Pelodiscus sinensis: one gene and its partners. The protein of the gene in region 4 purifies or fractionates together with the protein of the main gene of each other region. This does not show direct contact. Links are inferred from orthologs where the notes say so. Each region holds a gene or a part of one and is shown on either strand. Other genes may lie near its edges. The genes, in order: USP1, MTA2, ALKBH5 and KPNA1.

Evidence for each region.
Region 1: the proteins of KPNA1 (region 4) and USP1 purify together in Homo sapiens (co-immunoprecipitation; 6 studies listed by BioGRID and IntAct, with this or other methods). This does not show direct contact. The link is inferred for Pelodiscus sinensis from reciprocal best matches to the Homo sapiens genes KPNA1 and USP1.
Region 2: the proteins of KPNA1 (region 4) and MTA2 purify together in Homo sapiens (co-immunoprecipitation; 3 studies listed by BioGRID and IntAct, with this or other methods). This does not show direct contact. The link is inferred for Pelodiscus sinensis from reciprocal best matches to the Homo sapiens genes KPNA1 and MTA2.
Region 3: the proteins of KPNA1 (region 4) and ALKBH5 purify together in Homo sapiens (co-immunoprecipitation; 3 studies listed by BioGRID and IntAct, with this or other methods). This does not show direct contact. The link is inferred for Pelodiscus sinensis from reciprocal best matches to the Homo sapiens genes KPNA1 and ALKBH5.

What each region holds. Positions count from the first base shown.
Region 1 is NC_134719.1:16,470,510-16,478,183, forward strand, and holds the start of USP1 (ubiquitin carboxyl-terminal hydrolase 1), read left to right. Parts: upstream 1-4,196; 5' UTR 4,197-4,350; intron 4,351-5,094; 5' UTR 5,095-5,162; coding exon 5,163-5,332; intron 5,333-7,674. UniProt on the Homo sapiens protein: Negative regulator of DNA damage repair which specifically deubiquitinates monoubiquitinated FANCD2. Also involved in PCNA-mediated translesion synthesis (TLS) by deubiquitinating monoubiquitinated PCNA.
Region 2 is NC_134721.1:36,551,446-36,559,970, reverse strand, and holds the start of MTA2 (metastasis-associated protein MTA2), read left to right. Parts: upstream 1-5,130; 5' UTR 5,131-5,626; coding exon 5,627-5,654; intron 5,655-8,400; coding exon 8,401-8,468; intron 8,469-8,525. Other genes in the region: EML3 (echinoderm microtubule-associated protein-like 3), read left to right, coding at 1-116, 858-983, 1,188-1,319, 1,583-1,650, 1,958-2,046, 2,266-2,363, 2,629-2,716, 2,952-3,050 and 2 more. UniProt on the Homo sapiens protein: May function as a transcriptional coregulator. Acts as a component of the histone deacetylase NuRD complex which participates in the remodeling of chromatin.
Region 3 is NC_134726.1:34,043,023-34,050,629, forward strand, and holds the start of ALKBH5 (RNA demethylase ALKBH5), read left to right. Parts: upstream 1-4,231; 5' UTR 4,232-5,236; intron 5,237-5,349; 5' UTR 5,350-5,459; coding exon 5,460-6,199; intron 6,200-7,607.
Region 4 is NC_134711.1:138,989,037-138,996,845, forward strand, and holds the start of KPNA1 (importin subunit alpha-5), read left to right. Parts: upstream 1-4,671; 5' UTR 4,672-4,799; intron 4,800-4,815; exon of another isoform or gene 4,816-5,013; intron 5,014-7,809. UniProt on the Homo sapiens protein: Functions in nuclear protein import as an adapter protein for nuclear receptor KPNB1. Binds specifically and directly to substrates containing either a simple or bipartite NLS motif.

The DNA of each region.
Region 1 (7,674 bases), on a different chromosome or scaffold from region 4:
CAATCCCGCGCAGTTGTTTGGTACATGCCTTATCAAAGTGAGGCCCTTTTGGAATGTGGTTGCCAGGGGAACCAGGGTCACAGTAACTGCTGTACTGTATGCTTCTCAGGCTTCGCCTGATACTTTCAGATTTTAGTTTGTCAGTTCTCAGCAAGATACCATGGGCTGCCTCAATTTACCCTACAACTGCCATGATTCCAGATAAGTAAAATGGTTTCAATGCAATTATTTTAATATGGTTAGTAAATTGGGTTGAGTTCTGACACTCATACCAGCCAGGGATAATGCATGGGTTAATCAAAGATGATCAAATCCCATTGAGCTACATGCAGCCATTACTCTGCTGGTCATCCTACTTGCATGGCATAGTATACAAATAGCATGTGACAGGAGACATGCCTGGATTTACATTAGATGTAATTTACACCTTAAGTAATTTGTGATGACTGTTTAATTTTGTAATTAAAATTAATTATATTCTCTTAAATTGAGATACCTACCCTACACTGAAAAGTGCCAAATGCACTATTTATACTTTAGGTATCAAGTATCAAAATGCAGAAAGGAATTATACTTAGGGATGTTAAAATGTATTTGTTTTGGTAAACGTGTGACCGCTGTTTGGTGTAGCAGCAATAAATAGTGTAAATAATTCAATATTTCCCCCATTCAAGAACTGACCAAACCTAGGTGTAATTAATTTGAGGTTAGCGTCATAATGAACTATTTATATGGGGTGGAGAAAGGAGTATTGTGGTACCTTACAAATTAACAGATTTATTAGGGCATAAGTTTTTGTGGGTAAAACCCACTTCATCAGATGAATAGGAGTAGGGATGTGAAAGACTACTCGTCTATCCAATAAGCAAATGCTTATTGGATAATTGAGTTGACTAGTTGCTTCCCCCCCTTGCTACCTCTATCAGAAAGAGGCATTCAGGGGAAGTGAGAGGAGGGGGTACTTCAAAGTAGCAGCGCTGCTGGGGCCAGAACCTGGGATCCACGCAGTGCTGCCACTTTGAAACACTGCATGCAGCTGCAGTGTCCCCAGGCTGCACACGGTGTTTCAATGTGGCAGCGCTGCGTGGAGCCCAGGATCAGCTAGGGACTCCCTGCTGACCCTGGGCTCCATGTGGAGCTCCCGCTTTGAAATGTCGCAAAGAACCTGACGCTGGGCTCCACACAGCATTTCAAAGTGGCAGCGCCGCACAGAGCTTGGGGTCAGCGGGGGAGTCCCCAGCTGATTCTGGGCTCCTTGCGGTGCTGCCGCTTTGAAATGACGTGGGGTTCCCTGCAGTCTTACACCCTAGGGCTGTTGCTACATTTCAAAGGCAGAGGCACCCTATCAACTAATTGGAATTTAACATCCCTAAATTGGAGTGAAAGTTACAGAAGCAGGGATATAAGGAAGAAGTTGCTTGTGTTAATAAAGCTAATCAACTGAGGATGGAAGTGGGTCATTCACAACTTTTTGTATGGAGATGTAAATATCCAGGGAGGGAAAATTGCCATTGTAATACGTTAACCAGTTGAGATCCTATTCAATCCTAAATTAATAGTGCTGAATTTACAAATGAATTCCAGTTCAACTCTCTCCCTTTGTAACAGGTTTTTTTAAATTCTATTGTAGAAGGAGGGCTACTTTCAAATCCATTACTGAATGTCCAGGGAGGGTAACGCGTTCCTCTGAAGGTTTATGTGTGTTCCATTCCTGATGTCTGATTTGTGTAAGAGACTGTCCATTGGTCCAATATCCATGACAGAAGGACAATGGTGGCACTTGATGGCATATATTGCATTAATAGATGCAGCACTTGGAGTGCCATTCATGTATCAAGACTCTCTGTAGGAATTGTGAAGAGCTTCCCCCCCCACACACACAAAAAGGTGAATTTTTTAAAACTTTTTTGTTCATCTTGCTAATATAATCCATCCTATTTAGATGAAGATAATAGCTTTTAAATCTAATACTTGTGTATTTTAACTACTCAGATAAAAGAAACAAAAGATAATTAAAATTTTGGCAGTTAGTGTCAAAGGATGAAGTACTTATGGGTGTTTTTTTCCTTTACACAAAACAGTAATAGGACCTGATATTTGATGTACATTTTCTTTTTACTGTTTTGTCTATATTAAATTTGATGTAACTTCTAGAATTACATAACATGAAAAATATTAAACAAACTTGATCCTGGATTAAGATAATTCAAAACTAGCCCTTTAACATTTTCTAACTATAAGACCTTGAATATAACTATTTTCTACTTGATTTTTAAGTTGTTTCTTTTTTCCTGAAAAAGTGACATGCAAAAGAAAAATGGGATTGTGTCTTTTTTTTTTTTTTGCTTTGATATGACAAAGTTTTGATTTTTTTTTCCTGCTTATTTTTTTCTTGAGCCTTAAAGGGATGCCAATTCTTACTTCCTTTTTGGTAGTGGACTTCTTGGATGACTCAGATGTGCATTAGAAACTTCCTCAGATAATAACTGAATAGACTGGAGTATTAAATCGAGTTTCCCAAGTGTTTTAAATAGGTATAGACAAAACAAACCCAACATTTTAAGAAGTCTGGATAACTGTCTTGTCAACTAATAAGGTTTAATTTCCTTTGGTCATGTCTACAAGGGAGTTAAAACCAAGTCAAACTCTATAATGCAACACTTTGCTGTGTAATAATGCCTTGTGTGGACACTTGTACATTCAGCAAAGGTCCTGGAGTATAGAATTGCACTTATTCTTGCAGAGTATTGTGCTAACCCACATTCCAGGACTTTCTCCATACTACATTTTGTAATGGTGTCCACATGGGACTTTGTTGTGCTGCAAAGTGATGTAGATTCCCACCTTGTCTTGCCCTGCTTTAACTCACATATGCAATACCTTGCTATCTCTCTGATAATCACACTAGTTTCTTCATTGTCCCGGGTCTGTCACGAAAGCTAGATTTCTAAAAGTAAAAACAAACAAAACTATTTTCAAAGAAAATCTCCACCACATTTTCAGGTCTGTTGCTGTTGACATAAGGAAGACGGAGGGGGGGAGGTACAAACCTGGAGGTACAAACATTTGCACGTCACTTTAAAAGAAAAAACAACAACTACTATTTGAATGTTGCTTTGGAAGAAGTGGGGTAATGCACGAGCCAGGGTCTGGATGAAATGCGGGGGGAAATATGAGGACTGCTTTCCACGTGCTGATTTGAGCCACGTTGTGGGCACCACCTAGCGGACGCCAGGAGGATTTTTCCTTCGCACACTCGTTCTGCCTTTTTCCCCCTCTACCACACGGCGCTTCCCGCCCAAAGGCACCCGCCTGCTCGAGTCACCTTGACTGGAGGGGGCCGCCTGCGCGCGTGCTGCTCTCCGTAAAGCCCAGCGCTGGGAGGCGAGTGCTGACGCAGGAGTCCCAGCTTCCCCTCCCCGCCCAGCTGGCTCTGGGGATAAAGCCTGAGCGCAGGGCCCAGCCCGCTACGGTACCCAACGTGCGCGCTGAGGCGGGGGCCGGCCTCGTGATTTTTTTTTTGGGGGGGGGCAAGGAAGTGCGGTGGAGCTGCGCCAGAGTCGCTTAGTTCAAGCCGCTGCTTTGCAACGGTCGCCCGCCAACGAGCGGCCTGGCTGGCGGCAGTGCTCAGACTGGGGGGAACTGCCCACTGGACTAACGGGGTCTCCGCCTGCCCCCTGTACGCCAATCCTCGCTGCCTTCCTGAGAGCCGTTAACCCCCCCCCCCGACCATTTGAACCGCATCGTAGGACGCCGCAGCTCGCGCAAGACGCTGATTGGATGATCTGCTCGCGCCCTTATTGGTGTTGGGGGGGGGGGTTACACCGCGTGTCAGGACCTAGTCACTTTCCTTGGAAAGGGAGGGGTGCGGGCAGAAGCATAGGATGGTTTAACCCGTCCCATATCCCCCTTCTCAGGCTCGAGCCCTCTGACCAGGCCTCTACCGTTACACGCGCGCGCCCCGCCAGGACCCCGCGGGCTGGCCGTAATAATGCCTGAATCTAGGATTCAGAGAGTTGCCTCGGGGTTCCTAGTGCGCCCCGTAATCTGGCCCAACGCGCCTACCAGGTTTTTTTGTGAGGGGAAGAAGCGATATTGGCCGATGCTGCCCTTTCGGGCCTGAGGGTCTTAGTGGGATTTCTGTGCTGGCGTTTGCTCCTGGAGGCCGCACACGCCCTGGCGCGAGGGGGCGGGTGTCGGGTCCTGACGCTGGGGAAAACCCGCCAACTTTCCCGTTGTGGGGAGCACGGAACTGGGGCGCCCTGTAGTCACCATAGCAACCAGGGAGGGTGGTTCGGGGAGAGCGTGCCCCCTCCCGGCGGCACTCGGAGCCAAGCGAAGATGTAGCGGGTGAGGAGACGCGGCGCTGGCCGGGACCCTTTCCCCCCAGGAGTCAGGGGACTTACCCCATCCCTTGCGGGTCGGGGGTGCGGAGCGGGAAGCTGGGGGAAGGCGCCCCCCTCGCACTGTGGGGCCGGTGGAGTTTTGGGGCTTTCTCTTCCCGCTTCAACATGTGGTTCGGGAGCCGGTAATTGTTTCCCGCTCTAGCGGCTCTTACGGATCCCGGGGGGACGACACACGTACTATGGGGGGAGGCTCGAGAGAATGGCTGGCGTAAAGGGCTTAGTCTGGAAGTCTTACTAACTGGGTGCGCCCTGGGCCCTGTGGGAACCAAGTGGTGCCGGGCAGCGGGCGCCTTCCCGCCTCTGGGCCAAACCCGCAGGCGGGGTTAATGATCGCAGGAGATGCTATGGCTGGGCGGGCTTCCCCGGGACTAAACTTCAGCAGTCCTCGCTCCGGGGTGGGTCCGGCCAGCCCGTTCATTGATTGCTTGGCTTCTCTGCTGGAACTACCAGGGTAGCCTGTGTCTGCTGTGAGGCGGGCACGGGCTGCAGCCCCTTTCGGACAGGTGTCTGGACACAGCCAGGAGAAACTTCCTGGTTTTGGTCACTGCCTGTCCCCCGCTATCTAATGGTGAAGGTGAAACGGCTCTTGCCCACTCCTGTCTGAGCTGCTAGAAAGTACTGTCAGGAAGTTGTGTTGCATGTACGGCTGCATCCCATAGTAAAAGTAAATGTAACATCTATTTGACAGGTGTAACTGCTGATTGCAGCTTTCTGATCTTATTCCCCATCCCCATTATTATTTGTGAGGAGAAAAAAATGCCAGGTGTATTACCGACTGACACGGCTGGGCTTTTGAGAGGTAGCCCGTCAAAGAAAAACAGGCTTTCCCTGAAGCTTTTTCAAAAAAAGGAAACTAAAAGAGCACTGGATTTTACAGATTCACAAGAAAATGAACAAAAGAGTTCAGAGTACAGAGGCTCAGAAATGTATGTAAGAGTTTCAGTTTAAGATTTTTTGATTATAACATAGCATTCTAATGAGTATTTTTATGTTGTACCCAAAATGGACACATGCGATTTAAAATCGTTTTAATAAATGGATGTCTTATCAACTTGACTACTGAAAACTTAACTATTCTGTTTGCTGCACTGCTCCAACAGAGAATAAATTTCACAAATTAAAGACATAATCTTGCCTGTACAGTGTATTAACATCCATCATAAGCGTTAACTCAATCACTTCATTTTCTTAAATTAGGTTTCAAATAACAGTTATTTGAAAAAGCACAGCGGAGTGGGAGGGGACCCAGTGCAAGCTGGGACAGTTGATTCCTGGCTCATGCAGGGTCCTCCCTGCTGATTCAGCCTTTTAAATGTTGAAGTGCAGCGGGTACCTGGCCTGAGCTGAAATCAGCTGTCTTGTGCCAGGTCCCCCCTTCTGCGCACCAGCCTTTTAAAGGTATTAAGATCCAGTAGGCTCTTAATACATGTAAAAGGTAGAGGTGCAGTGTCTGGGACTGGGTATGAGCCAGGAATGAGCTGATTCCAGGCTCACACCTGGTCCCTGCTTCCTCCCCTGCCCTCCACGGAGACAGTGCTGGGAGGAATCGGCTTTTAAGTTGGTTCCCCCCAGCACTGGCTCCTGCTCCTCTCCTTTGGTGCCTCTGATAGGGTACGTCTAGACTGGTGGGTTTTTCTGGGATCCCGGAAAAACTCCACCACGTGCAGGAAATGAATTTGCTCTTTGTTCTTCCGCAAAAAAAGAAAAAGCGAAACACGCTTTTTCAGGGAGACCTGCATACTTTGTTCTATGAGGAATAAGGACTCCGCTGAAAGAGGAGGCTTTTCTGCCATCTGGCCTGTTCTAGATGGCCATTTTCTGTCATTTGGCCCAGAAAAGCAATCAGAAAAAGCGCCGCAAATTGCGAAGCACAATTTGCATAGCTTTTTCTGATAAGAGTATAGTCTAGACCTAGCCATAGAGGCGGTGGGAGGGGGAGAAACGACTAATTGAGGGACTAGTCAACTATCCAATAAGCTTTTGCTTATTGGATACTTGACTTAGTTGGTTACATCCCTACTTACTACAGCAATACAGTGTGTTACTAGTCTAATGTTTCTAAACTAACTTTTGGTTGCTTCTCTATATAATGGACTGGATATTTCCAGTTGGTTGGTGTGCAGAAATTTCTGTAATGATACTCTCTTGGTGATGGGAGGGAGCAGGTTAGAATGAAAAGTATATGCTGGTATTAGTTCTGCAGTAACTATAAGACTATAACTCAAACATTATAGAAAATCATTACGGTTCTTTTTCATATTGCTTTGAAAGACTTCAGAAAAAACTAACTGACCATGTGTAGCACATGGACAGGGCCCAACCAAATTCACGGTTCATTTTTCTCAATTTCAGTTATAGGATTTTAAGTTATATACAATTTTTCATAATTTGTTATTTAAATTGGAAATTTCATGGTATTGTAATAGTAGGAGTTCTGAGGCTGTAGAGAAGGGTGTGTAGGTTTTGTAAAGTTATTTATTTATAGAAGGGTCATGGTACTGCTTGTGAAATCTGGATAGCAGGGGTCTCAAACTCCTGCAGCCAGGGGACTGCAGATGGGTAAGGGACTGTTGCTACCGCCCTGCATCAGGCCCTCTCAGTAATTCCTAATGCTGCATCCCTCAGGACGGGGTGCAAGCAAGAGAGAGGGTGGGGTGATGGCAGGAAGGGACAGAGCTTGGGGGATGGGAAAGGACAGTCCTTCCACCCAGCAGGACTCGTGGGCCAGATTCCTGCTCCAGTTGGGGATGGCCTGTGGACCAGGAGTTTGAGACTTCTGCTGTATCATCTCACACCACCAAATTTCATGGGAGTAACAACATTTTATAGTCTAGGATGAATTTTTCACGGTCATGAATTTGGTAGGGCCATCCACATGAGTCTTGTACTATTCCTAGAACAGTCCTGCAGCACCTTAGAGACTAACAAAAAAATGTAGATGGGATCATGAGCTTTTGTGGGCACAACTCACGTGAAGTACCAGAGCTGCTGCGGCAGGAGGGGGTGGGGCCGGCTTAAAAGTTTCCCTCAGCACCATCTCTGCGATGCTGCCTGCCATGCCACCCCAACCACTGTTGCCTCTTGGAGAGGCAGCATGGCAGGGGAGGCTGCCTGCTCGGACTCCCTGCGGACAGGGGCTGCTTGACCTGGTCTGAGCTGGGACTGAACAATCCTGGCTCAATCCCAGCTCATGTCATAAAATTCAGGTGCGCAGAGGTGCAGTGGGGGTAGTTCCTGGATCTGGCGGGAGCTGGGATTGAGTCAGGAT
Region 2 (8,525 bases), on a different chromosome or scaffold from region 4:
AAGGCAGCATCTTCTCACTCTTCCTGCGGCACGATGGCTCAGTGCTTAGTGGTGGGGGGAAGGACCGGCGCCTCGTGCACTGGAGCCCCAGCCTTGCACTGCTTCAGGAGGTGGAAGTAAGGGGAGCCCTCAATCTGCATGGGGTCAATTGGCTCCAATCCAAAGTGTGGGGCAGGGTAGAATCTGCATGCGACGGGTGAGATTGAGCAAAGGGGATTCACGGGATTGTGGGAGGTAGGGGTGGGGCCAGAATGTGCCAGTGTTGGAGGGGGTTGGGCAGAGAGATCTGTTGGGCAGGGGATCGCTTGGGCTTGGACATGGGGATTTGCCTGTGGGATCCGCTGGCGAGGGGTGGGAGGAAGGTGTTTAGATGTTATGAGAGATCTGCAGTGGGTGAGGGTGGGGCATCCGTGGGGGTGGGCGGGGAGTGTTTGGGTGTTGATGGGGGGCTGTAGTGGATGGGGTGGGAATCTTCAGAGGTGTGTGAAGAAGATTTGGAGGGGTGAGGGGTCTATAGTGGGTGGGAGTGGACAGGGAGTTTTGGAGTGGTTGGTGAGGGAGCAGCAGTGGCTGTGGAGGAGGATCTGCAGGGGTGGGCAGAGGGTATTTGAGGGGATCTCTGAGGTGAGGATGGGGGAATTACAGGGGCAGGCAGAGGGTGTTTGGAGGTGCTATGGGGTGTATGGGGGCCTGGTTGGGGGACTATAGAAATCAGGGTGGGAGTTCACAGACAGCAGGGGTGTATTGGAGGCATGGCAGGAGGCCCTGGAAGGGTATGTGCAGGAGGGGAAGGGGTCTATAGGAGCCATGTGGGGAGGATCTGTGACTCCAGATGAATCAGCCCCTTGTGCCCCCAGATCCCGGAGCAGTTTGGGGCTGTGCGCACCATCGCTGAGGGCCCCGGGGACGAGCTGCTGGTTGGGACTACGCGCAACGCGCTGCTCAGGGGCAGCCTGGGCACTGGCTTCACCCCCATTGTCCAGGTGCGTGGGGAGCTAGATTCTGGGCAGCTACAGAAACTGCACGGCCATGGGATGGCTTGGGAAAGAGGGGCCTTGGGAATAGTATGGGGGTGCAGCAGAGTGGTGGGCTGGGGAAAGCAGAAGGGGTCTGATGGGATGGGGAGCAGCATGCAGTGGGGTGAGCTAGGCCCCTGTCTGCCTCTATCAGGTTCTTCCTGGTTGCAGGGTCATACGGACGAGCTGTGGGGCTTGGCCACCCACCCCTCACGGAGCCTTTTCCTCACCTGCGGGCATGACAGGCAGGTCTGCATGTGGGACAGCGGGGAGCATACAGCGGCCTGGAGCCTCACCCTGGAGGTATGGCCCAGAGGGGATGGGGGAGCTCGTGGAGGTACCGCCCGGAGGGGAAAGGGGAACCCATGGCAGCCTGGAGCCATACCCTAGACATACCACCTGGGGTGGATGGGGGGGCTTACGGTGGCCTTGAGTGTCACCTGGAGGTACTGCCTGGGGTGGGGGAGGGATGCAAGGCCTGGAGCCTCACCTGGAGGTACCACCTGAGGGGATGGAGCGTGGGGGAAGAGGGTCAATGACCTTACAGTGTATCTCTCCCCCTCTAGGAGACTGGGCTCTGTGCTGATTTCCACCCCAGTGGCAGGGTGGTGGCCGTGGGACTCAACACTGGACGGTAACTCCCCACCACCCCCCATTACTCCCTTTCTGGCCCCTTAGGGGTGCTTGGCAGCCCTTCCCACCCCATTGGAATCACACCCAGCGAACGGCGGATGCTGGTGGCCCTGCAAGCAACACCGTGAGATTCGGGCTGTGGCCCCCATTTCCTGAGTCTGGCCCTCCAGGGATTAAGGGGTCACTGAGTTTGCCCCCAAGGCCGGACCTCCTCTCTGTTGCCCCTGTTCCCTGGGGTGGGGTCGGTCCTCTGCGTGCCTCTGCATGTTTGGCACCTTGGGAGCTCTGACCCTGCCCTGTGCCTCCAGGTGGATGGTGCTGGACACAGAGACACGGCAGGTGCTGTCATGGGGCTCGGATGGGAACGAGCAGCTCTCGGTGGTGCGGTATTCGCCAGGTCAGACCCTCATGCCTCCCTGCCCCGCTCCCCTCCCCAGCAGGCCCATTCTGACTAGATTCCTCCCCCACTGCAGCGCTGGCTCCCTCCAGCCCCCATTTTCCTCATGTTGCTGAGACAGCAAGTTCCTCCCATTCTCCCCCATTCCTGCACCCCCTCCACTGCCCCCCCTTTTGCACACAGATGGCCCCATCCCACCCCTCTTTCCCCCCCCTGCAGATGGTGAGTTCCTGGCCATTGGCTCCCATGACAACTTCATCTACATCTACAGCGTGGGGGAGGGGGAGCGCAAGTACAGCCGCTTCGGTCGCTGCACGGTGAGGCGCTGCTGGCTGTAGGGGGGGCAAGAAGAGAGGGTTGTCAGAAGGAGGCTGGGAGTGATAGGGGCTACTGGGGCAAGGGTAAGGGAGGGAAGAGAAGAGAAGAGAGTTTCAGGGGGGCTGAGAATGGGGGAAGTACTGGGAGCCGGGGGTGTGTGATTCCAAGCCCTTGGGTTGTGCATCCTTGGGAGGCACCTCAGGCTGGGGAGGGGATTCTTGAGTACCTGGCTTTAAAGTCCCATTTTCTTCCCTCTTGCTCCAGGGACACTCCAGCTTCATCACCCACCTGGACTGGTCCAAGGACAGCAAGTTCATCATGTCCAACTCAGGAGACTACGAGATCCTCTACTGTGAGTGCAGGGAAGGCATGTACTCAGGAGCCCCTCACCCTGGTGCCGGGGTGTACGTCCTCCTCATTGTGCCTGGGCCCATCCATAAGCATCTGTCATGGGGGAGATAATTCTGGTGCCCTGAGACAAGGCTGTGCGTGGTCCCCTGGTGCCTAGGCTAGGAGTTGCACCTTCATGTGGCAGTGCCGGTCACTGCAGCTGACCCTAACCCTGCATGTCTCTGCCTCCTTTGCAGGGGATGTGGCTGGCGGCTGCAAGCTGCTGAGGAATCGCTTTGAGAGCCGTGACCGGGAGTGGGCGTCATACACCTGTGTGCTGGGCTTTCATGTTTTTGGTGAGGGTTGGGAACCATAGGGTGTGTAGGGAGAGGATGAGTGTCGGGAACGGGAAAGGAGAAAAGTGTAGCCGGGAGGGAAGGAACCCAGGGGTTCCAAGAGCCACAGTCAGGAAGAGGCACTAACAGCTAGTGCATATCCTGTATCTGCTCCGCAGGTGTGTGGCCGGACGGCTCAGATGGCACAGACATCAACTCCCTGTGCCGCTCCCACAATGAGCGTGTTGTCGCTGTGGCAGACGACTTCTGCAAGGTGCATCTGTTCCAGTACCCCTGCGCCAGGGCCAAGGTGAGACTGGCAGGGATAGGGGAGTTTAAGCCCTGAACCCATGCCAAAATGAGAGGAGGCACACAAGGGGAAGGATTAACTAGGGATTTTGTTTGCTCTTCTGCTCATTCACTGGGTATTGCCCTGAGAGTTTGGGGACCAGAGATGCCCAGAGGGTCTTTGACATGGGGACATCCCAGGGGATCAGGAAGTCTCTATGGGATCTTGGGCAGGGGAATCTCTGTCTGAGTTTGGGGCAGAATAGGGGGGTCTCATCTGGGTATCACGGTGGTTCTGGGAGGTCCTGGGTGTAGTGGCAGAGCCCAAGGGCCTGGACCAGAGGTTAGGGAACAGCCTGGAGGTGATGGGATTTCATCAGTAGCCCCTACCCCTGACCCCACTCCTTGTTTTCTCTTGCAGGCGCCCAGCCACATGTATGGGGGCCATGGGAGCCATGTGACTAACGTGCGCTTTACCAATGATGACAGCTATCTGATCTCACTGGGGGGCAAGGACACCAGCATCTTCCAGTGGCGAGTGCTGGGGGGCAGCCTCACCCATAGCTGCTCGCTCTCTTCTGCTTCCCTATCTTCCCAGGAGGCAGGAGGCTGTGTCTGAGCCGGAGATGCTACAGGGACCAAGCCTCATTGCCTGTAGGCCTGGACAGCCCTGGCACATGAATCTCAGTGAGCGAGGCCCAGCCAGAGGGTTCCCTACCCCCTGGCACTAACACATGCTAATAATGCGACCTGATTCATTAACACTGGGGAAAAGGCCTAAATTCTGCTCAGGGCCTGGTACAGGTCAGAGTGGTGAGGCAGGGCCAAGGGCCTGTTGGCAGCTCCCACCACTGGGGCCCAGGGGCTCATCTGGGAGGGTGTTGGGATTGGGACTCTTGCTTTGGAGGCAAGGGATGGGTCTGGCAGGGGAACTCATGGGTCAGGGAACTGCAGGATGTGTTAATGGAGGCAGCATGGCCTTAGGGTTGGGGCTGTCCATACCCACCCTTGTTCCCCATGGTGGAGCAGTAGCCCCATTCCCAGAATGTGTATGTGTGATGGGACCTGTCCACCTGGGGGCACTCTCCTCTCTAGGGGCCTGAGGGCTGCCCCCAAACCTGGGACCAAGCCTGGAGAAGCAGGACACTGCTCTCCCCACTTTGTTTACATTCCCAGCTGCGCCAGAGCAGCAAGACGCTGAACACTGTGAGAGGCAGCAATAAAGCCTTGGCATCAGGGGCTGGGCTCCCGTCTCTTTCCTTCCAGGGGTGGGGAGCAAGCAAATAACAGTGGTAGGGGGCAGCTGGACAGAAGGTTGTATGCAGGGGCCACAGCAGTGGGGTGGGGAGAGGAAGGCATGCAAGGGGCAGCAGGGTGTGGGGCTAGTCTGCATTAGGATGGCACAAAGACCACATTTAACAGCCTCAGAATGGGGGTGAGGGGAAGCAAATGAGGCTTTTGTTCCGAGGGGGAAACGAGAGATTTAGTTCCCTAAATCCAGTGGAATACAGAGAAAACATTTCCACCTCTCTTTTGGGACACTGGGATTAGTGCAGTGGTGCTCCACTCCAGAGTTGGCTGCATCTCACCTCGGTGTAGGACTCCGCTGCAGGTGGTGAATTCTTGGGTAAATGAGTGGCTATTTTGGTCTAAACATGTCTAAAACTGCACCTGTATGTATGGAAATAATTCTAGTGCAGTTGAGGCTGTTGGGAATTGCCCCTTGAACGGGGGGCGGGGCAACCTTGAGCCCTTCGGAGAAGAAAGGGTTAAAAACCCAGGGCTTGAAGCTCCCTCCGAAAAGGCCCGAGCAGGGCAGACCGTGTCCGGAAATAACCGAAAGTTTCAGTTTCCGGATTTACCCGACGTCCTGCTCGGCGCCGGCCATCTGGAGTCACTGTCCGGAAGGACCCGATCGCCGAGAGGCTTTAGTCGACGGTGCCCGAAGCTTCGCCAGGTGCTTTCGGAAGTACCCGAACGGTTCCGGAGAAACTCGATCTCACGCGGAACATCCCGAAGCGCTGCCGGAGTCTCATCGGGTATTTCCGAGTCTTGCCGATCCTTTTCCGGAAACCACCGAAGCGCTACCGGAGTCGCATCGGGATATTTCCGAGTCTTGCCGATCCTTTTCCGGAAACCACCGAAGCGCTGCCGGAGTCGCCCGAAGTCTCCTGGTCCCGGCCTTGCGTGAGGAGGAGGAGGCGGCGGCGCGGGAGGAGATGAAGAGCGGCCGGGAGCGGGGCTAACGTGGGCCCGAGCGGAGCCGGACGCAGACGCCCCCGCCCTTCCCCCCATCGCGCGACGGGGCCATGGCGGCCAATATGTACCGGGTGGGGGGTGAGTCTCGGGCCGGCGCTGCCCCGGGCTGGGACGGAGCTGGGCAAAGGCGGGTGGACCCGGGAGGGGGAGGGGTCAGTGCGGGACCGAGCTGGGGGGCAGCGTGGGGCCGGACCGGACCGAGCCGAACCGGAGGGGAGCAGTGCGGGGCCGGACCGAGCGGGGAGGTGGAGGGGTAGTGCGGGGCCGGCCGGACTGAGCGTGGGGGGGGGGAGAGGAAGCAGAGCGGGGGGAGCAGTGCGGGGCCGGACTGAGTGGGGGGGGGCGGGGGTAGTGCGGAGCCGGCCGGACTGAGCGCGGGGGGAGAGGAAGCAGTGCGGGGCTGCGGGGGGGGGTAGTGCGGGGCCGGCCGGACTGAGCGCGGGGGGAGAGGAAGCAGTGCGGGGCTGCGGGGGGGGGTAGTGCGGGGCCGGCCGGACTGAGCGGGGGGGGAGGAAGCAAAGCGGGGGGAGCAGTGCGGGGCCGGACTGAGTGGGGGGGGGGAAGCAGAGCGGGGCTGGAACGGAGGGGAGTGGGGAGGGTAGTGCGGGACCGGACTGGACTGGACCGAGCGGGGGTGGGGGAGGAGCAGTGCAGGACCGGACCGAGCGGAGGGAGCTGGGCGGTGAGCCGGGGGAGCGCGTTCGTGCTTGGGGAGTCAGCAGGACACGGCGGTGCTGACGCTGGTGTGGGGGCTCCCGGGGCCTGACCGAGCCGGGGGGGTGTCAGTGGCTCGGCCGGAGGTGTGTCTGTGGAGGGCAGTGGGGTCAGACAGGTTGGTGTGTCTCGCGCTCCACCGGATTTTTTTTGGGGGGGAGGGGCTGTCCTGTCCTGCAGGGCTTATGGGCTGTGTGTGTGTGTGGGGGGGGGGTGATACCCCCTTAGTTCCTTAGAGGAAGGTGCCGTCCCTCCCCCCCCACATGCTGCACCCCTGTGTGGATAGTGTAGGGGAGTGGTGAGCAGTGGGTTTGTTATGTGGGGACTGGGAGGATTGTTAGAATGTGGGTGATCTAGGGTAGTGAGATGGCTTCATCTGGTATGGGGAGTCCACGGGCTCTGGAGGCCTGGGGCAGTTGGCATCAGGTTGTGGGGGGGGGGGGTAGGTGGACAATGGCAGTATGGGATAATGGGCTGGTTATGTGAGGGCAGGAGAATGTGGTGTAGGGAGCTGGTTACATGGTACGAAGAAGTTCAGAGGCTCTGGGGAAATGGAGCACTTGAGGGTCTGGCTGGTGGGTTGGGTTTGTTATTTGGGAATGAGGTAAGTTGAGGGGGCAACTGGCAGGTTATGTGGTGGAGGAAGTCCTTTGGGGAAAGCATGTTTGGTTACATAGGGAGGGGTAAGGGAATTCATCAGGTGCAAGGCCCACAGGGGACAAGGGTCGGCTGGCTCGATGGAGTATAAGATTTGGAGGGCTGTGGTTATGGCTGCTGGGGTGGGGAGCAATTAGAGAATGAGGGTCAGTGAGGTGTTTATTTGTTGTCTGCAGTTTGCTTGTAGGGTGTAAGTGGGGCAGTTGACCAAGTGGGTTATCAGGTGTTTGGGGGCAGTCTGGTTGTGGGTAGGCTATTGCACAGGCTGTGGATGAGGCAGTTTGGGGGCATGAGTTGGGGAGATTGGAGGGCAGGTTGAGGTGTCTGTAGTTCTGGGACAGTTGTGGGGTTTAAAGGCTGTGGGAAAGAGAGGCCTGGCTGGGGATGTGCCTGGTCTTGGGGAGGGTGGGTTATGTGTGGGGCAGTTTGAGAGTCTGTGGGGAATGGTGTGTGTGGAACAGTTGGGGAGTGTGCTGGGAGGTGGAGGTAGTTGTGGGACATCTCGTTTTACTGCAATTGGTGGTGGTGGCTTGTGTGGAGTTTGCTTGAGGAGGCCGGGGTGGTGTGTCTGATTTAGGGTGCTTGAGGGGGAGGGATTTCTACCATGACCCTTCCCTGGCTCAAACTGGGCATTTGACCATGTGCTGAGAAGCCCATGAGCATTTGGTGCTGCACTTTGGGTGTGGCACTTCAGGGGAAGGGAGCAAGAAGGTTGGCCCCTTTCAGTGGGGTGGGGTTTTTCTCAGGGTCTCTATTTTATAATGTCCTCCCCACTTCCCACTCTGGGGTGTGTCCCATGAGGGGGTATGATCTTGCACTGAGATCACCATACGTTTGGGTTACGTTGGAAGGTGGGAGGCTGTCTGCCTGTCCTGGCAATGCCATGCCCACGCCAGTACCTGGCTGTTATGCTGCCTGGGCATGTGGCTCAGCTATCCCTCAAGCCTGGTAAATGCTGCCCATGCTTAGCTATTGATGTTCCAGGCTGGAACCTGTTACCAGGCATTGGCAGTACTGCTGTTAAACCGGACCCTGTCCGAGCAGATGGTTGGCAGGTGGTGATGGAAAGGCTCTGGGTTCTAATGGTGTAGGGTTTGGGCTTGGGCTTGGCCCCGGCCCTGGGGAGCTGCAGCCTCGCAATGTTGCCCAAGAATGCAAATGGCTGTGGACAAGAGGAGTGCATTGGTGACAGGGAGGTGGCTGGGGAGACAAATCCCCTGCTATTCAGGGCCTAGACTAGGGTGGGGGCAGGAAACCCCATGGCAGGTGAGTATGAAACAGCTGAGACAGTCTAGGTGAGGCAGCCCTCTGAGGGAGGAGCTTAATGGCGCTTTCGGTGAAGGTGGCCCTGGGGCTCATGTAACGTTTATGAGGGTTCAGCCTGTCCTTCCTGAGTACCTGCCTGTTTCCCCCCATTTCCCCATGACGGCTTCAGTCTCCGTTCTCTTGGCAGATTACGTCTATTTTGAGAATTCCTCCAGTAACCCTTACCTCGTCCGGCGCATTGAGGAGCTCAACAAGGTGAGAGGCCGTGGGACCACAGCCGGAGATATCCACCCATCCCCTGCATGCACCCCT
Region 3 (7,607 bases), on a different chromosome or scaffold from region 4:
GAGAAGAGAGCATGAGGTGATACAGGGAGCGACTTTTACTCACCATGCTCTTCCTATTTCACAAACAACCTTTCCCTCGGTTTCTCTTAGTCTCTCCCCTTCTGGTCTATAGTGATAGCAACGTCCTATTTGTGTCAGGTAGTAATAACCTACTTTCCCATCTCTCCGTGCACTGCAATCTTATGAAGCCATTTACCAGTCCAGTGCCCCTCCTAATCCCCACCGCCACCCCTCAAGCCCGAGGGCTTCTAAGAAACATGGTTGCTGCCATGCGAGCTCATCCGGCTGCTTCGTGATTCTGACTGTTTTCAAGTTGCACACACACAGCCTCTGACTGTTAACACCCAGAGGAGACAAGGAGACAGAGCCCAGTATGTCATCTGAGACAGCACTTCCCCCTGTTGGGATGAGTGAGGCTGAAACAGAGCAACAGTCGGAGGTTAAAAATCTTACTTAAAAAACGCCTATAAAGACAGCCCCTCTGAGAAAAAGAAGCCTGAGAAACATCAGCTTTCTTGGCCCAGCATTTCCCTGGAGGGTGAGTTGAAGGAGTTAGGGCCTCTTCAAAGGAAACATGGCTGCAAAGAAGAGACTGTAGCCTTGGAATGAAACCAAGCAGGGCACAGGTTCAGGGGAGGGTCTCCTCTTCTCCTTAGGGATCTAAAGACTTGCACGCTTGGGCTCGCAGCTGACTCATGGTAGCACTCAGAAAACATACTGCTTCCCTATGCTCTCCCAAATTTTAACTGCTAAACGAGGTGCCCCCACGTGCCCCCTTCCCTGCCGCTCTGAGTGGTCCTCCCTGCCTCCCCTTCCCCCACCAGCATCAGTCACCCCTGCTTGGGCTCAGGGCACCTAGAAGATTAGCTACAGCTCTGGGATGAGAGCCACGACTGACAACACCGCTCCTCCCGCACGCTGAACTTTCTACTGTAAGAAGAAAGCTCAGCCAGGACAAGCGACAGAGCTCTCTTGGGAGCTGGTCCACGCCTGTGGAGTGAACTCCCTCCGGAACCAAGGACCCAAACCTGATCACCAGGGGAGTCGAGAGGCTCCGCACGCCCCTGGCGAATGTGTGTGTGGGGGCCCAGCTCCGTGGTCCCAGAAGGGGCAAGGCCGGGGCAGCCAGCTCTCAGCGCTGCCCGAACCACACGTTGCAGAGGCTTGTAAGTCCTGGGGCTCCACCCGCCACTGCTGCTGAACCCCAGGCCCCTTTGCCCCTGTCGGCAGGCCTGCTCACTAGGGATTTAAGCGACTAGTTGACTAGTTCCTTGACTAGTTGTTTCCCTGCAGCCTTGGGGGGCCTCTATCCCAAGCAGCAAGGGGGAGAGAAGCAGCCAGTGCCGGTTCCCCCCAGCATCATCTCCCCAGGGGGCAGGGAGGTAGCAGGGACCAGGCACAAGCCAGGAATCAGCTGATTCCCAGTTCACGCCCAGTCCCAGACGCTGCGCTTCTGCTTTTGAAATGTATTAAGGATCTGTCAGCTCTTAATACATTTAAACGGCTAACGTGCAGCGGAGGGGGAACCCAGCACGAGCTGGGACAGCTGATTCTTGGCTTGTGCCGGGTCCCCCCGCTGCACACCAGCCTTTTAAATGTATTAAGAACCAACAGGCTCCTAATACATTTAAAAGGCAGGGCCGCAGCGGGGTTGAAAATCCATCGACTAATCGATTAGTTGATTAAACTAAACTTAACATCCCTACTGCTCACCACCTTCTGCTGCAATTGCAAGGGGCACTTTTTTGACCTGCCTTCTCTAACATATATACAAAGCAGCAAGGCCATTAAAAAACCAAATGCAGGCCTACCACACCAAAATACACCCTGACATGCACAACTCTGCCCTGGGATGAGGCTGAACAAAGCGCATGTGCCAGATGTCAGTCATGACACTTAATGCTCTACTGGAAGGCGCTCAGATTCCATGGGGATGAAGATAAGAACCTGCACAGAACAGCATAGGAAACGGCCGCAACCAGAGCCCCCGCTGGTGCCAGTTGCCTGAAAGAGGTCCACATGCTGCCCATTGGCTCCCAGTGTAGTCCCAGGCTGAACTATGAAATTCACCAATGTTACCCTCACAGGTTAAATTGGGCAGGGCAGGGAAACAGATTCTCTTCCAAGCTCCACCCACAAACCAAACTCCGCTCAGTTGAAATCCCATTCACAGCACATTGTGCTTGTTTTCATAAAAGGGTCATCCCCCTCCTTTCTTTGATCAGCAGAGAAATCATTAACACTGGTGACATTAAATTACCAGTATTGGATAGTCCAGTTAAATCACCCCATTGGGCTGAATGGGATAGTTCACATCTCTCAGAGCTACTGTTTCTGGCTCTGCAGACTCAGGTACCCATCACCACTTCGGTTATGGTTGGTTCACATTCTGAAGGATTTCTTTTAAATCCTGAAAGCTAGAAATATGCTTCTTTTAAAATGAAAGCTGAGTTGCTGGAGCACAAGATGGTAGCTTGAGGACAGTGGTGGTGGTGCAATGTATATTCACATATCTCCTGAAGAGGGCTCTGTTTATGATTCATTTCTGTGCACTGTAGAAATTGGGCACAGGCCAGGAAACTGCAGTTGTGATCTAAAACAGATTAAGGCAAAGGTTCAGGGCTTGTGTTCAAGGTTGATATTTTTTCTTCAGTGGCCTGGACAGCCTGTAAGATGAACTTGCCACCTGCAGCCTGTTTTTGTGGCTTGTGGTGTTTTTCATTTTCAGTGACTTAGTGAGTTACTATTCTCAGCACATGAATACAGTCAGTGACATTCCGGGTGTTCCCAGGAACCTAAAAGCGCCTGTCCTCTTTGATTCTGCATAGCTAGTTTCTGTTCCTCCCATAGTACACTAGAGATAAAAGGTCACCACTAGCCACTTTCTGTTTGGAATCTAACATTATGATCTACTGGTAATGTGAGCAATTATTTAGAATTCATATTAGCCTTCTAGTCTAATTCCCTAGACTAGTACAGGGTTTTGTACTAAAAGGGCACAAAAGTTTATGTCCTTCAGTCCCAAAGTCTCTGAAAGGATGATCACACTAAAACTGGATGAGGTGGGTTGTAACATTATTGTACTATACACAAATCCCTTGATTCACCAGGGCTTTTTTTAAAAAGCAAGTTCTTTGCTACTCAAAAGGGCTTAATGCTCCTGAGATACCAAAAAAAGGTGTGATGCACAGGGATGCTGGAAGGAGAATGAACATGTGCAGAGACTCCCCTGACCTGGGCCTGCATTGTAAGGGGCAAACCCCTGTCCCATCTCTGTACTTTCAGTCTCCAATGTAAGGGTGGCTGGGTACCCAGAACTCAGGGGTGGGTAACTTTCCCCATGGCTGTGTCTACACTGGCATGAATTTCTGGAAATGCTTAAAACGGAATACTATTCCGTTTTCAGTTTTTCCGGAAAAGGAGCGTCTACATTGGCAGGCTGCTTTTCCAGAAAAACCCTTTTTCCGGCAAAGCGCCCGTGGCCAATGTAGACACGCTTTTCCGGAAAAGAGCCCCAATCACCATTTTCGCCATCGGGGCTTTTTTCCAGAAAAGACTACTGGGCTGTCTACACTGGGCCTTTTCCGGAACAGTGTTCCGGAATAAGGACTTATGACCGAGCGGGAGCAGAATAGTTTTTCCGGAATAGCGGCTGATTTTGTACAGTAGAGCATCGTTGCTTTTCTGGAAATTCAAGGGCCAGTGTAGACAGCTTGCAGCTTATTCTGGAAAAGCGGCTGATTTTCCGGAATAAGTGGCCCAGTGTAAACACAGCCCATGAGTGCACGCCTATGCCCTAGGGGTGGTACGTGCCCCGTGGTCTGTTCCCATCATTCCCACTTTACCCCTGGCAGAACTGCCAGTGCCATGTGGCAGCCATGCAGGGAGCAGCAGATGCTCCAAGGCAGGGGTGTCCTGCCTGATGCCTGACTCTTTTTGCCTATCTCCGCCAGGCTGCTCCCGTGCACCCGCCATCGCCCACACTGCTACGGGGAAACGAGCGCGGGTCTAGGCACGGCTCTCAACTCCAACCCCATCAGGCACCTCTATAGACACCCCAGCCCCCTACTCTCATAAGGGTCCTCCGCCTTTCCGCACAGCTCTACGCAACTTTCTGCATACGCAGAACCCCGTCTCACAGCGACCAATGAGCTAGACTTTTCCCTTTGTGCCCGCCTCCTCAGGGCAGCTCAACCAATCAGCATCGAGCCGGGGGAACAGGTAGGTTAAGTTGAACCGCAACGGGGGGGTGGGGGAGAAGCGCTGTTGTGGGATCGGTGATGCCCTCACCGAACGACACCGCCCTCAGTCACTCGCTCCGCCCCACCCGCCTCCCGGGCCACCCGGACGAAAAAGTCTCGGGGGCTTGGCCAAGCGGCGGCGGCTGTGAAGCGCGGCGGCAGCCAAGAGGCGGCGGGCGCCGCGCGCATGCGCAGAGGGCCGGCTATGGGGGGTCCGCGCCTGCGCAGTGCGCGGCCTGCGCGCTAGGCTGCCCCTGAGCTATTTATAATGTCGGGCTGGCTCCTGGTGACGTAGCGAGGAGTCCGAGCGGCGTCCGCGAGCGCGTCGGAGCAACCCCCCCCCTCCCCCGCCCCACCTCCTGCTGCTGCGATGGGGAGCGAGGCGGCGGCCCGGGGGCTGCCGGGAGCCGGGGCAGCAGCTGGGCACGTGCCAGGCTCCGCCACTGCCTGAAGCGCGAGCCCCATGGGCGGCGGGCGCCCGGCGCAGAGCGTGGGGCCCAGCAGCTGACAGCCCGCGGGCGGCCCGGAGGCCTCGCCCGGCCCTGCGGCAGGAGGCGGCTCCCCCCTGGCCTGGAGGGAGGCCCCTGCAGCCGAGCCCTGCTCCCACGCCGGCCCGGCCGGGGGACCTGCGCGCTCCCGTCCCGGGCCCCCCCTGCAAGCCAGGAAGTGGCGGGGGGACGGAGCTAGCGGGCCCCGGCCCTAGGAGCCACGAGGGGAGGCTTGGCCTTGTGCGGCCTCCCTCCTCCCTCTCCTCTTTCCCTACGCAGCTACCGGAGAAGAGCCTGAGCGAGAGGTGAGCGTCCAGTCCCTCCCTCCTCCCCCACACACGCACGTGTCGGGGGGCACCCGGCGTGGAGCAGCGCACCAGACCTCTCTTCTTCCCCTACCCAAAAGAAAGGGAGGAACTTCCTGTTTTGGAGCAGAGCCTGGCCCTCTCCCCGCCAAGGAGTCGGGGCGCTCTATGGAAGCGTGGAGCTGAGCTACCTGAATCAAAGGTTTCTACCCCCCCACCCCACCCCCACCACCACCAGAGCAGTGAGTTGGGTGGGTGCCCTGTGTGTGGAATTGGAATATAGAATCTGCTCTGTGGATCTCTTTCCTTTTGGAGCTATCCCAGCAGGACAGGGAGGCCATGAATAGCAGCAGCACTTCCCACTCTTTAACCCAAAGAGTCGTGCACCGAGAAGATCAGTAGAGGAGGTGGGTTGCAAACGCACCATGGCGGGGAGTGGCTACACAGACCTGCGAGAGAAGCTGAAGTCCATGATGCCTTATCGGGACAACTACAAAGGCAGCAGCCTGCGGGAACCCACAGAGTCCCCCTATGGGGCAGTTGGGGGTGCTGCTGCCACAGAGCGCAAACGCAAGTACCATGAGGACTCAGATTCTGAGCCCAGTGACTATGAAGAGCAGCAGAAGGAAGAGGAGGAGGCCCGGAAAGTCAAAAGTGGCATCCGGCAGCTTCGTCTCTTCAGCCCAGATGAATGTGCCAAGATCGAAGCTCGGATCGAGGACGTGGTATCTAGAGCTGAGAAAGGCCTCTATAAAGAGCATACGGTGGACAGGGCCCCTCTTCGGAACAAATATTTCTTTGGAGAGGGCTATACGTATGGGTCCCAGCTTCAGAGGCGAGGCCCTGGTCAGGAAAGGTTGTACCCGCAGGGGGAAGTGGATGCCATCCCTGAGTGGGTGCATGACCTGGTGATCCGGAAGCTGGTGGAGCACAGGGTGATTCCTGAGGGCTTTGTGAACAGTGCCGTGATCAACGACTACCAGCCTGGTGGCTGCATCGTCTCCCACGTGGACCCTATCCACATCTTTGAGAGGCCCATCGTCTCTGTGTCTTTCTTCAGCGACTCTGCGCTCTGCTTTGGGTGTAAGTTCCAGTTCAAGCCCATCAGAGTCTCCGAACCCGTCTTGTTCCTGCCAGTGAGGAGAGGAAGTGTCACTGTACTAAGGTAACTAAGTGGAAGGCCTCTGAGTTTCAGCAGCTAAACCTGAGTCTCCTTAGTAGCTTAATAGAGACACAAGTTACACAAACAAACATCAGCAAAAATACATGCCTGATTTTTTTTTATTTTTTTTTAAACCCACCAAAGCTCGTGATTCTATATATTTTTGGTTAGTCTCTAAGGTGCCACAGGACTACTTGTTTTTAAAGTTACAGACTAACCTGGCTACCCCCAAGACTTTTTAACATGCCTGAATTGTTTATATTGCATCATAAACACATGGGCTTTCCACTGAGTGTCAGGATTAAGGAAAGAAATTTGGGACTGAGGCTTCATGATCAGTGAGGGTCAGGTGAGAGCAGTGATTCAGCTCGAGCAGCAGACAGTGACGCAGCTAGGCCTAGGAGGAAGACAAGCCCATTTGCAGGGGCCTCAATAAGAATCTGTCTGCGTGTGGAATGTTAGTGGATTGACGCTGACTGCTATCTAGGGTCAGGATACACAGGGAGACATAAAATGGAGCCCCTGCCCAGCAGTATGTTTGTTATGGAGCAACTGATTTAGGCGTTGGTGACCAAGCTAAGAATAGAACCCAGAAATCCTGACTTCCTGTGTGACTGTAAACAGAGAGGTGAGGTGGCCTCGTTTTTGTTCTCCATCTGTAAAGTGGGGATATGAAATCTTAGCTGACTTTGTGCAGAATACTCTGAGATCTCCTGTGTATGCAAGTGCAAATTGTGTAGTCCCAGTATAAACTGCACAGCAGCCCTGTCTCATAGGTACAGGAAGGTTCTCCCTGTTCCCCCTTTACAGATGGGAAAACAGCCACAGAAGTCAGATGATCTGCCCAAGGTCATGCAGCAAGTCACTAGTAAAGCCAGGATTGGGACTTGGAAGAGCCTACCTACTAATTTCTTTTTCTGTCCTCTGGGTCATGCCTCCTCTCTTAACTACATAAAGAATGTTGAGGTTGGCACAGGGAACAGCCAGTTAAGTTGCATGTGTTTTTGTGGAGCAGGTGGGTTTTTAGGTGCCACAGGAAGGAGGAAGTCCGATGATGGGAGTGCATAATTTTATGATCAACTTTTATAGTACGGCCCTTAAGCTAACGGCAGTCCTGCAGACTTCATTTGACACGGATAGCCAAATATCCCTAACTTTTTCAGCAATGCCAAAGGGAAGTATTTTAGCTATTGTATGAGCTGGTAAACGTGCATGCTGGCAGCAAGGCAGTGTGCGTATAATACCATGTCATGCTTTGGCTTGCAAAATGATTGCTGCAGGGGGTCAGGAAGGAATTTCCCTCTTCGTGTACATATAGCATTGTACGAGTGACCAGGTGTGTTAATAACAGATAGTACTTACACTGCTTTGTATCTCTAAACTGCTGCACAAATATTAGCTCATTCTCCCC
Region 4 (7,809 bases):
TTTTTCGAAAAAAGAAGTGTAGTTTAGACATAGCCTCAGATATAGAAAGAAAAGATGATGAAAGCTTATCACAGAATCCAGTTTGACAGAATGTTTCCTAATTGTTGTAACTGCATTATAGCTGTATTTGTCACCAATAATCACTAACTGTTCTGGAGAATGTTCCATTTCTCTTCTCACCAGGGTAAAAAATGTCCTCTGATCCACCACAATGCAAGAGCATCTCAGTGCTTTGTCCCTCTTGAGCACTGAGAATGAAATTGTCAAGTCTTTGAATTATGATGAAATCATTCATGACTTTGCCATAGTTACAGGTGGAAAAAATGTTTAAGTGTAGTGAGGGTAGAATACATGTGTTAAGTTTATGTAAATATGTATATAGATAAATGTTTGATGACTTCATAATTTTTTGCAACATACTTAGGCCCTTCCTTCCCATTAGCCTTAAGTCCCTCAAAACATTAATCCGCCCTGCCAGAGTTAAATGAGCTATTCAGAGCTCTAGCTGAAGCCAAAGCCAAGACATTCCCTTTAGGGTTGCCAGATGGCTTAACCAAAAATACTGAAACATCCCCTACCCAAAAAAAAACCTGGGGAAAAAATTCTGTTGAGGAAAATAAAGGGAGAGACCAAAGTTGTTGAGAAAAAAAAAAAAAGGACCCCGAGAGTTGTTAATTTAAAAAAAAAAAAAAAAGCATGGCCCCTTTAAGAAACGCATTTAAGGCTTTTTGGCTCTAGCAGGCTGCCAACAGCCATCTACCATCTTGTCTTCCTTCTCCGGGCCAGACTGCTCCCCTGCGGAACCAGGTAAGCACTCGGTATTTTTGCCTCCTGGCCAGGAAAAAAATCAGAAAATACCGGACATTTTAGGCGTCCGGTATTTTCCGAAATTTTTTTAATGGACAGAAGGTGAAAATACCGGACTGTCTGGGGCAATACCGGACACCTGGCAATCCTAATTCCCTTGTCTGTTTCACCAGTGGAACTCAATCCTGTAAGTATACTCAGAGTCAGCTTACAGGATTGGGGCTCTGCATAAAATATGGGTGAGGACAAGAAATCTGGGTATGTATTGCTTCAATAGGACTCACATATGCATTACTGAAATTCCAAATTCAGATCCCTGATCTGGAGCAGGGACTTTAATCCAGGCAATGTTCTCCCTAATCTTTTCCATTGATGTGCAGATTTTGTTCCATCCAGGTGCAAAATACATGTTTATGTGCACCAAGGCATGTTCATGTGCACTGATCCCAGGGAATGCTCTGAACACCAGTGTTGCTCTAGTGCAGGTGTGATGCACCCTAAGGGTACTCAGAATTGTGAAGCACCTCACTATCACCTGTCATTTGTGTGAGAAAGTTTTGACTGAGCCTGCCAGGAATCAGCTCCCCAAATCCTGTTATGGACAACACATATACTCTCTTCTAGGCCTCACAGGCCCCACTGTCCCTTTACAGGTTAGTGATAGGTACACTCCAATCTTCAAATCCTCTAAGCATCCCCTTGGATTGGAGAGTCCAGCTCTAGAGCCGCTGGACACTGATGACATTCAGATTCACTGTTTCCAAAGGAACAGAACTCCTCAATTTACCACTTTCACATCAGATCAATGCTCTGCTTAGCATATAGTGCTCAGATATATGTAGAATGAAAACAAGAAGCTTATTTAACAAAGGATTCAAATTGTAGCAAGTGAAAGTACTGGAAACAAATGAGTAAATTAAATCATAATGCACATTCTAGAACTTAGAAATCGATTACAAAGACACCCTCACGTAATAAATACAGCTCACCTTATGACTTTGCAGCGTGTCGCGAGAATCACAGGTCCGATAATGAATACCCAAGGGGGGAAGGACAGAGCCTGTGGCCACGCGGCGCATAGGGTTGCTGGCCCCAGGCACGTGGCTCATGGGGGTGTGGCATATGCACGGCCCCGCCCCCGGGTGTGCAAGTGTCCCTGCCCTCTGGCACCTGGCAGGCGAATGGCCACGCCCCCTGGCACCCGGCAGCTTCAAATGGTTGGGGACCACTGCCATAGGGGTTTCTTGATCAAGAAATTTATGTTGACTGTCTACACTGCCCTCTTGTGGAAGAGCTCTTGCACAAGAGGGCTTATTCCTCTTGGGGAGAGGAATAACTCTTCTAGAAGAAGTCCTGTTTTCTGACACTGTACTGTAAATTTACAGTGTAGACAGCAGGCAAGTTTTTGTGCAAGAAGGGCTGTTCTTGTGCAAGAAGCTGCCAGTGTAGACATAGCCTGTGTGTCTCCTGTTGCCCTTTGCCAGTTGGCACCAAAGGATTCCTGGGTCATAATAGAATAGTGATAGAAATGTAGCCGTGTTAGTCTGGTGTAGCTGAAACAAAAAATAGGACTATGTAGCACTTTAAAGACTAACAAGGTGGTTTATTAGGTGATGAGCTTTCGTGGGCCAGACCCACTTCCTCAGATCAAATAGTGGAAGAAAAACTGGCCAGTGGTTAGTTAATATAAAAAGAAAAACATATTTTGTACCATCCTCGCAACTTTAAACAAAATTCCTTGTATTCTTGAATGCTGCTTGCTAAAATTAATAAGAGCTGAGTATATGCTGCCCTAGCAACCTGGGATATTATTTACTTTCTGCAGGGTCTCATCCTGAGCAGCAGCTCTGGCAATCACAGTCTACATTTTGTCTGAGACGGGGCAGTTTTTTAAAGAAATAGGGTTGAGTAGTTCAAAAATCTAGCTTTGTATTTTGCACCCCTTTTAGTCAAATGCTTTAGTTAATTTCTGCAGGCACCAAATCTCTCCCAGCTTTGTATATAATTTGTAAATTATACATGTGTAGTTGCAAAAAGAATCTGTGTACTCTTGGAGGCTGGGGTGTTTGCCAGGCTTCTTTTGGCAATGGCAGTAAGTGATTATGACTGAATGCACTCTTGTTGACACACTCAGCATCCTACTGCAACAACTGTTATGAAAGATATGCCTTGTGAAGTATCATTTGAAAATTAATAACTTGCTGGTCAATATTATGGTGAAATGTATGTAGCAACATTATATGTAGCATTATGAATTTCCCCTGTATGATATTACCACAAAAGTTGTTTAACCGGTCTAAACTAATCAAAAGAATGTGTTTACCTCAATTTGTATATATGTAGTAAATACGGTTATTGAGACTGCTTGAAGGGGAAATAGCAGCAGACAAGGCAAATCTATATTTCATTATATAAAGAGAAGAAACAGCATGAAACTTCCTTCATGGAATCCCCAGACTCCAGGTTTCGTTCTTTACCTTTTGCATAAACTTTGCTTTCAGGGTTAATTCTCAGAAGAATCCCATTTCAAAGGGCAACTGGACTATAAAAGTGAGAGGCAAAAAGTCCCCCAGTACATTTGTCCCTCTCTTTTGCTTTAGAAGACAAAAGAACCATACCTGGGACTTAATGGAGATGCACGTGTGAGAGGAAGGATCCAGACTAGAGAATTTGATCACACATATTACTGGCAACACGTGATAAGGATCTTACCTTGAACTAAGTCTAGTTTAAGTTTTAGTTACTAGAAAGCATTTCATCTTTATTTCTCTTGTAAACGTTTCTGTCTTTAATGTCACATACTTGTACTCACCTTGTACTTGTAGTTACATAAAATCTATTTTAATCTAAACAAATCCAGTGCTATGTCAAACTAAACAGTGTGGTAACTCCACTTAAAGTAGCAGATTTGAATACTAAGAACAGACCTCTACTCTCTGGACTGTCTGGAGAAGGTTGGACACTGCATAGCATACATTTTTGGGAAAATCCAAGGCAAGGAGTGTGTTGGGGTTACACTGCAAGTAATAACCAAGGATAGTGGAAGCCAGAGTGCAAGAGGGTTGGGGGCAGGCAGCAGATACAGAGACATGCTTGCAGGCTGTTCACGAGTGATCCAGGTTGTGAGCTACAACAGCAAAGCCCTAGGAGGCACCTTAGGTTGCAGGACAGGCAACGACACAATCACTCACTGCCCTGGATTGCATTCTGGAATATGATAGCAGTTAATGGTCAATTTCAGACAACACAGGCCTCCTATAAATAAACGGTTCAGCCTATTCACTGCACTACAGCCTCAGCCTCTTCCTCCAGCTGTGTGCGCTGCGGGTCGGGTGTGGTTATTGTCACAACACCGCAGGGCTGGCGCCTCTTTCCCAACCCGCTGCAGCTAGTTCCCAAGCTCTCCCGGCTGCGGGGCCAGGAAACGCGCGTAGGCTCCAGTTCTCCTTGCGCGGGGGAGGGGTGCAGGTTCTGGCACCAGGCGCAGGCTTCCTAGGAGCAGCTCGGCGCCGCCTCCCCCCCCCTGTGATTCTGGGATAGCAGGCGGCGCGCGCCACCAGCGGCGAGACGAGGCGCGGCACAATGACGCAGCCCAGTCCTCGCGCGCTGCGCTCGCGCCCGGCCGGCCCCCGCCCCCGGCCACAGCGCCTTCCACTGCGGTTCATCCACTAGCCGCTAGCGCGTGGCCGCACAGAGGCGACGCGTTGCATTCTGGGAAGCTAGTCCTCTCGGCCCGGACCTTGCCTGTCGCGTGGAACGATCGGAGAGTATCCGAGCCCCACGCTTGGCGGCTTGCGGGGACTCTATCTCCCAGGGGCCTGTGCGGCGGGGCCGGAAACGACGCGTCGAGAGGACACACACACACACACACACACACACACGCGCGCAGCCGCAGTGAGCGCTGCAGCGGCCAGATCTGGGCAGGCGGGCGAGAGGGGAGGGGCGCCCGCGCGCCTCGGGCCCGAGAGGAGAAGCCGCAGGCCGGGCCTAAGGTACCAGAGCGGAGGGACCGGGCGCCGCAGCTGCCACTGCCCGGCAGGGCTGTAGTGGCCCGGAAGAGCCGAGCGACGGGCGTGTGGGGGTCTCGGGGCTGGTGCGGCAGCCGCTGGGGAGCGGGGCCTGGGCCGGGCGCTGCTGGAGCAGTTCGAGAGCCGTTGCACGCGCTGTCACCCTGCCCGTGGCGGGACCGTTGCCGGCGGCGCGCGCGTGAGTAGGGGCAGTGCCCTGCTGAGCGGGCCCTGGGGCGGGTGCTCGTGCCGCTGTCAGGTACCGCGTGCAGCAGTCGCGGTTCGGCCTCGCGTGCCCAGTGCCGTGTGTGGGTGGAGCCGTGATAAACGAGACCTGGCATTGTTGGGGGGAGGGGGGAGGACAGTCGTTGGGGTTTCAGCAGTATCCTGTGGTAAAGTTTGTGTTTAGCTCCCGCACGGCATTGGCTTGGCAGACTGTTAAGGATGTAACATTTCCAGATTTACACTTCTGTTTCAAGAGAAGCAGTTTTCCTAAATGTGAAGAAGTTTCCTTTAGCTTCTTTTGAGTTACAGGCTGTTAGCTTGGGCACTGAAGGATAGGTCTCAATTCCCTGCTGCCATTTAATGCCAAAAACTCTAGGTTTTTTACTTTCAAATAGTTTAACTTTGAAAAGATGAATTATTTTGGTGAAAGTGAAGGAAATCTGCTTTTACAGAATGAAGTGGTGCAGCTTTTTAAAAAAATGCAATATGTGTATAACGTTTTTTGTCCATATATTTGTTGACATGTTCAAACTCTTTCTGGATTGTTAAGGAAAAATAGCCACCATATGTGGCTCACGTTAAGATGGTTTTGAGAATCACACACCTCTCACCTTGATAATTCACCCTTCAGAGTTAGGTTTGCATGTTGGTTTCAGAACTCACCATAGAGAGAAACAAGGTTGCATTGAGGATTTTAAGCACAACAGTGAGAGTGCATTAAATGAATAGAAAGATAAAAATATGACACAGAACATAAATATTTGGAGCAATATTCTTCAGCCTTCACAGCTGATAGTTTCTTTGCTCAGACTTCAGTTTCCTGGCAACTTTCATAGTGAACATCACTTCTTTTGCTTTTGTCGTTGTTAATCATGCAAAACACTTTAGGAAGTTAGTCTTAGCTGGAGCCATAATACAGTAGAAGTAGTCTTGAGTTGAGATTCCCAAAACCCACAGTCCCACAATTGAGAGAGAAGGTTGTTTTGGTTAAAAAAAACAATAGAATGGAAGTGAAGGCTATGATACAAAAATTATATATAACAAATGGAAGGTATGAGAAGCTGAGAGGAATTGTAGAAAATGCCAAGGAATGCAAGGAGAATCCTTTGGCCTGCAGAGTTAAGTAAGTACTTAAAATATATGAGGAACAAAAATAATCATGACAATGGTGTTGGTCCATTACTAGATGGAAGAGGTAGAATAGTAATGTGGAAAAAGTATAAGTGCTCAATAAATATTTCTGTTCTATCTTCTGTTTTACCCCAAATGTAGTTGGACTGTGATAACATTTTTTTCCCTTCCATTGGTATCTCTGGAGAAGGGATGTGAATGGTTAATCAGTTAACTGATAAGGTTTAATGTGTGAGTTTTATCAGTTTTGGTTTACTAGTGGGGGCTTCTGTGGGCTGGAGCACTCCAGACCGACCAGAGCAATGCCTATCTGTGGTGGGCCCAGCACATGCGCATTGTACACAAGGGCTTTCTGGCTGGCTGTGGCAGCCTCTGTGGGGAGCGGATGGAGGAGAGAAAGGAGGGGGTGCTCCAGTACCCCTGCCAGTCTAACCACCCCCCCTTCATCAGGTAAACATTATTAAACATTACATTTAATCAGTTAACTGGTTAACCAGTTAAACAGGATTTTACATCCCTACTCTGGAGGATGTTAAATTAGATATTTATAAATCGAAGGCTTCAGATAAAATTTTAAAAGAACTGGCTGAGGAGCTTGCTGAAGTGTTGATGGTAATTTTTTTCACAGTAACTTAACAGTGGCAATACTGGATTAAAACAGTGGCCCATATAGCCAAGTATCCTGTCTTTTGACAGTGAATGATACCAGATGATTCAGAGGGAAAGAACAGAAAAGAGTAATTATTGTCTGATCCATCCTTGTTGTCTAGTCCCAGCTTCTGGCAGTCAGAGGTTGAGGGACATACAGGGCATAGGGTTGAGTCCCTGACATTCTGGGCTAATAGCCATTGACTGACATATTCTACAGGAATTTATCTGATTGTTTTTTCAACCCAGTATAGTTTTGACCTTCACAACATCACCTGGCAATGAGATGCACAGATTGACTGTGTTGAAGTAATATCCCTTATGTTTTTTTTAAACCTGTTGTCTAATAATTTCATTATCTGACTTCTGGTTTTTGTTGTTTGAAGGGATAAAAACTTTCCTACTCATTTCTCCAATACCATTCTTTGGTTTCGTGAATGACCAGACAGTGATGTGGCAGTTATGTATTGTTTTTAACCAGGTACCCCCTGCATTACATGTGCAGGTCTGTTAACCCTCCCCTCACTCACACCCACATGCAGTTGACACAAGCAATAAAGCTCCTGTTCAAAAATCATTAGTTTCTATTTATGAAACCCAGGCAAAAGAGAAAGAAAAGGAGGTCAGTGTGTGAGTCTTGCAGGGAGGAGGTGGAGGGCACAATGGCAAGTGGTTTATTACAATCCCCCTGTGTAGCAACCTGTTTGTCTTCTTATATTTAGTTGTGCCCCGTTGATGTGGGTGAATAGCATTTGCTCATGAAACATGTTATCCTATGTCATGTTTTTTAGCTGTCTGATCTATGATAGCTGAAGTGCTGCAGGACTTAGGGGAAGTGGGTAACAGACTCACTGTTGCAGCTGCATCGAGGGAAAAAATGAAGGACAGGCTTTAGAGACAATACCTTGTAGAATGCAGAAGCTAGTCTTTTACCTTGAATGAAGCTCTGGGGTATACAAAGGCATGTGTTTTGTACAAGGCCAAAGAGATG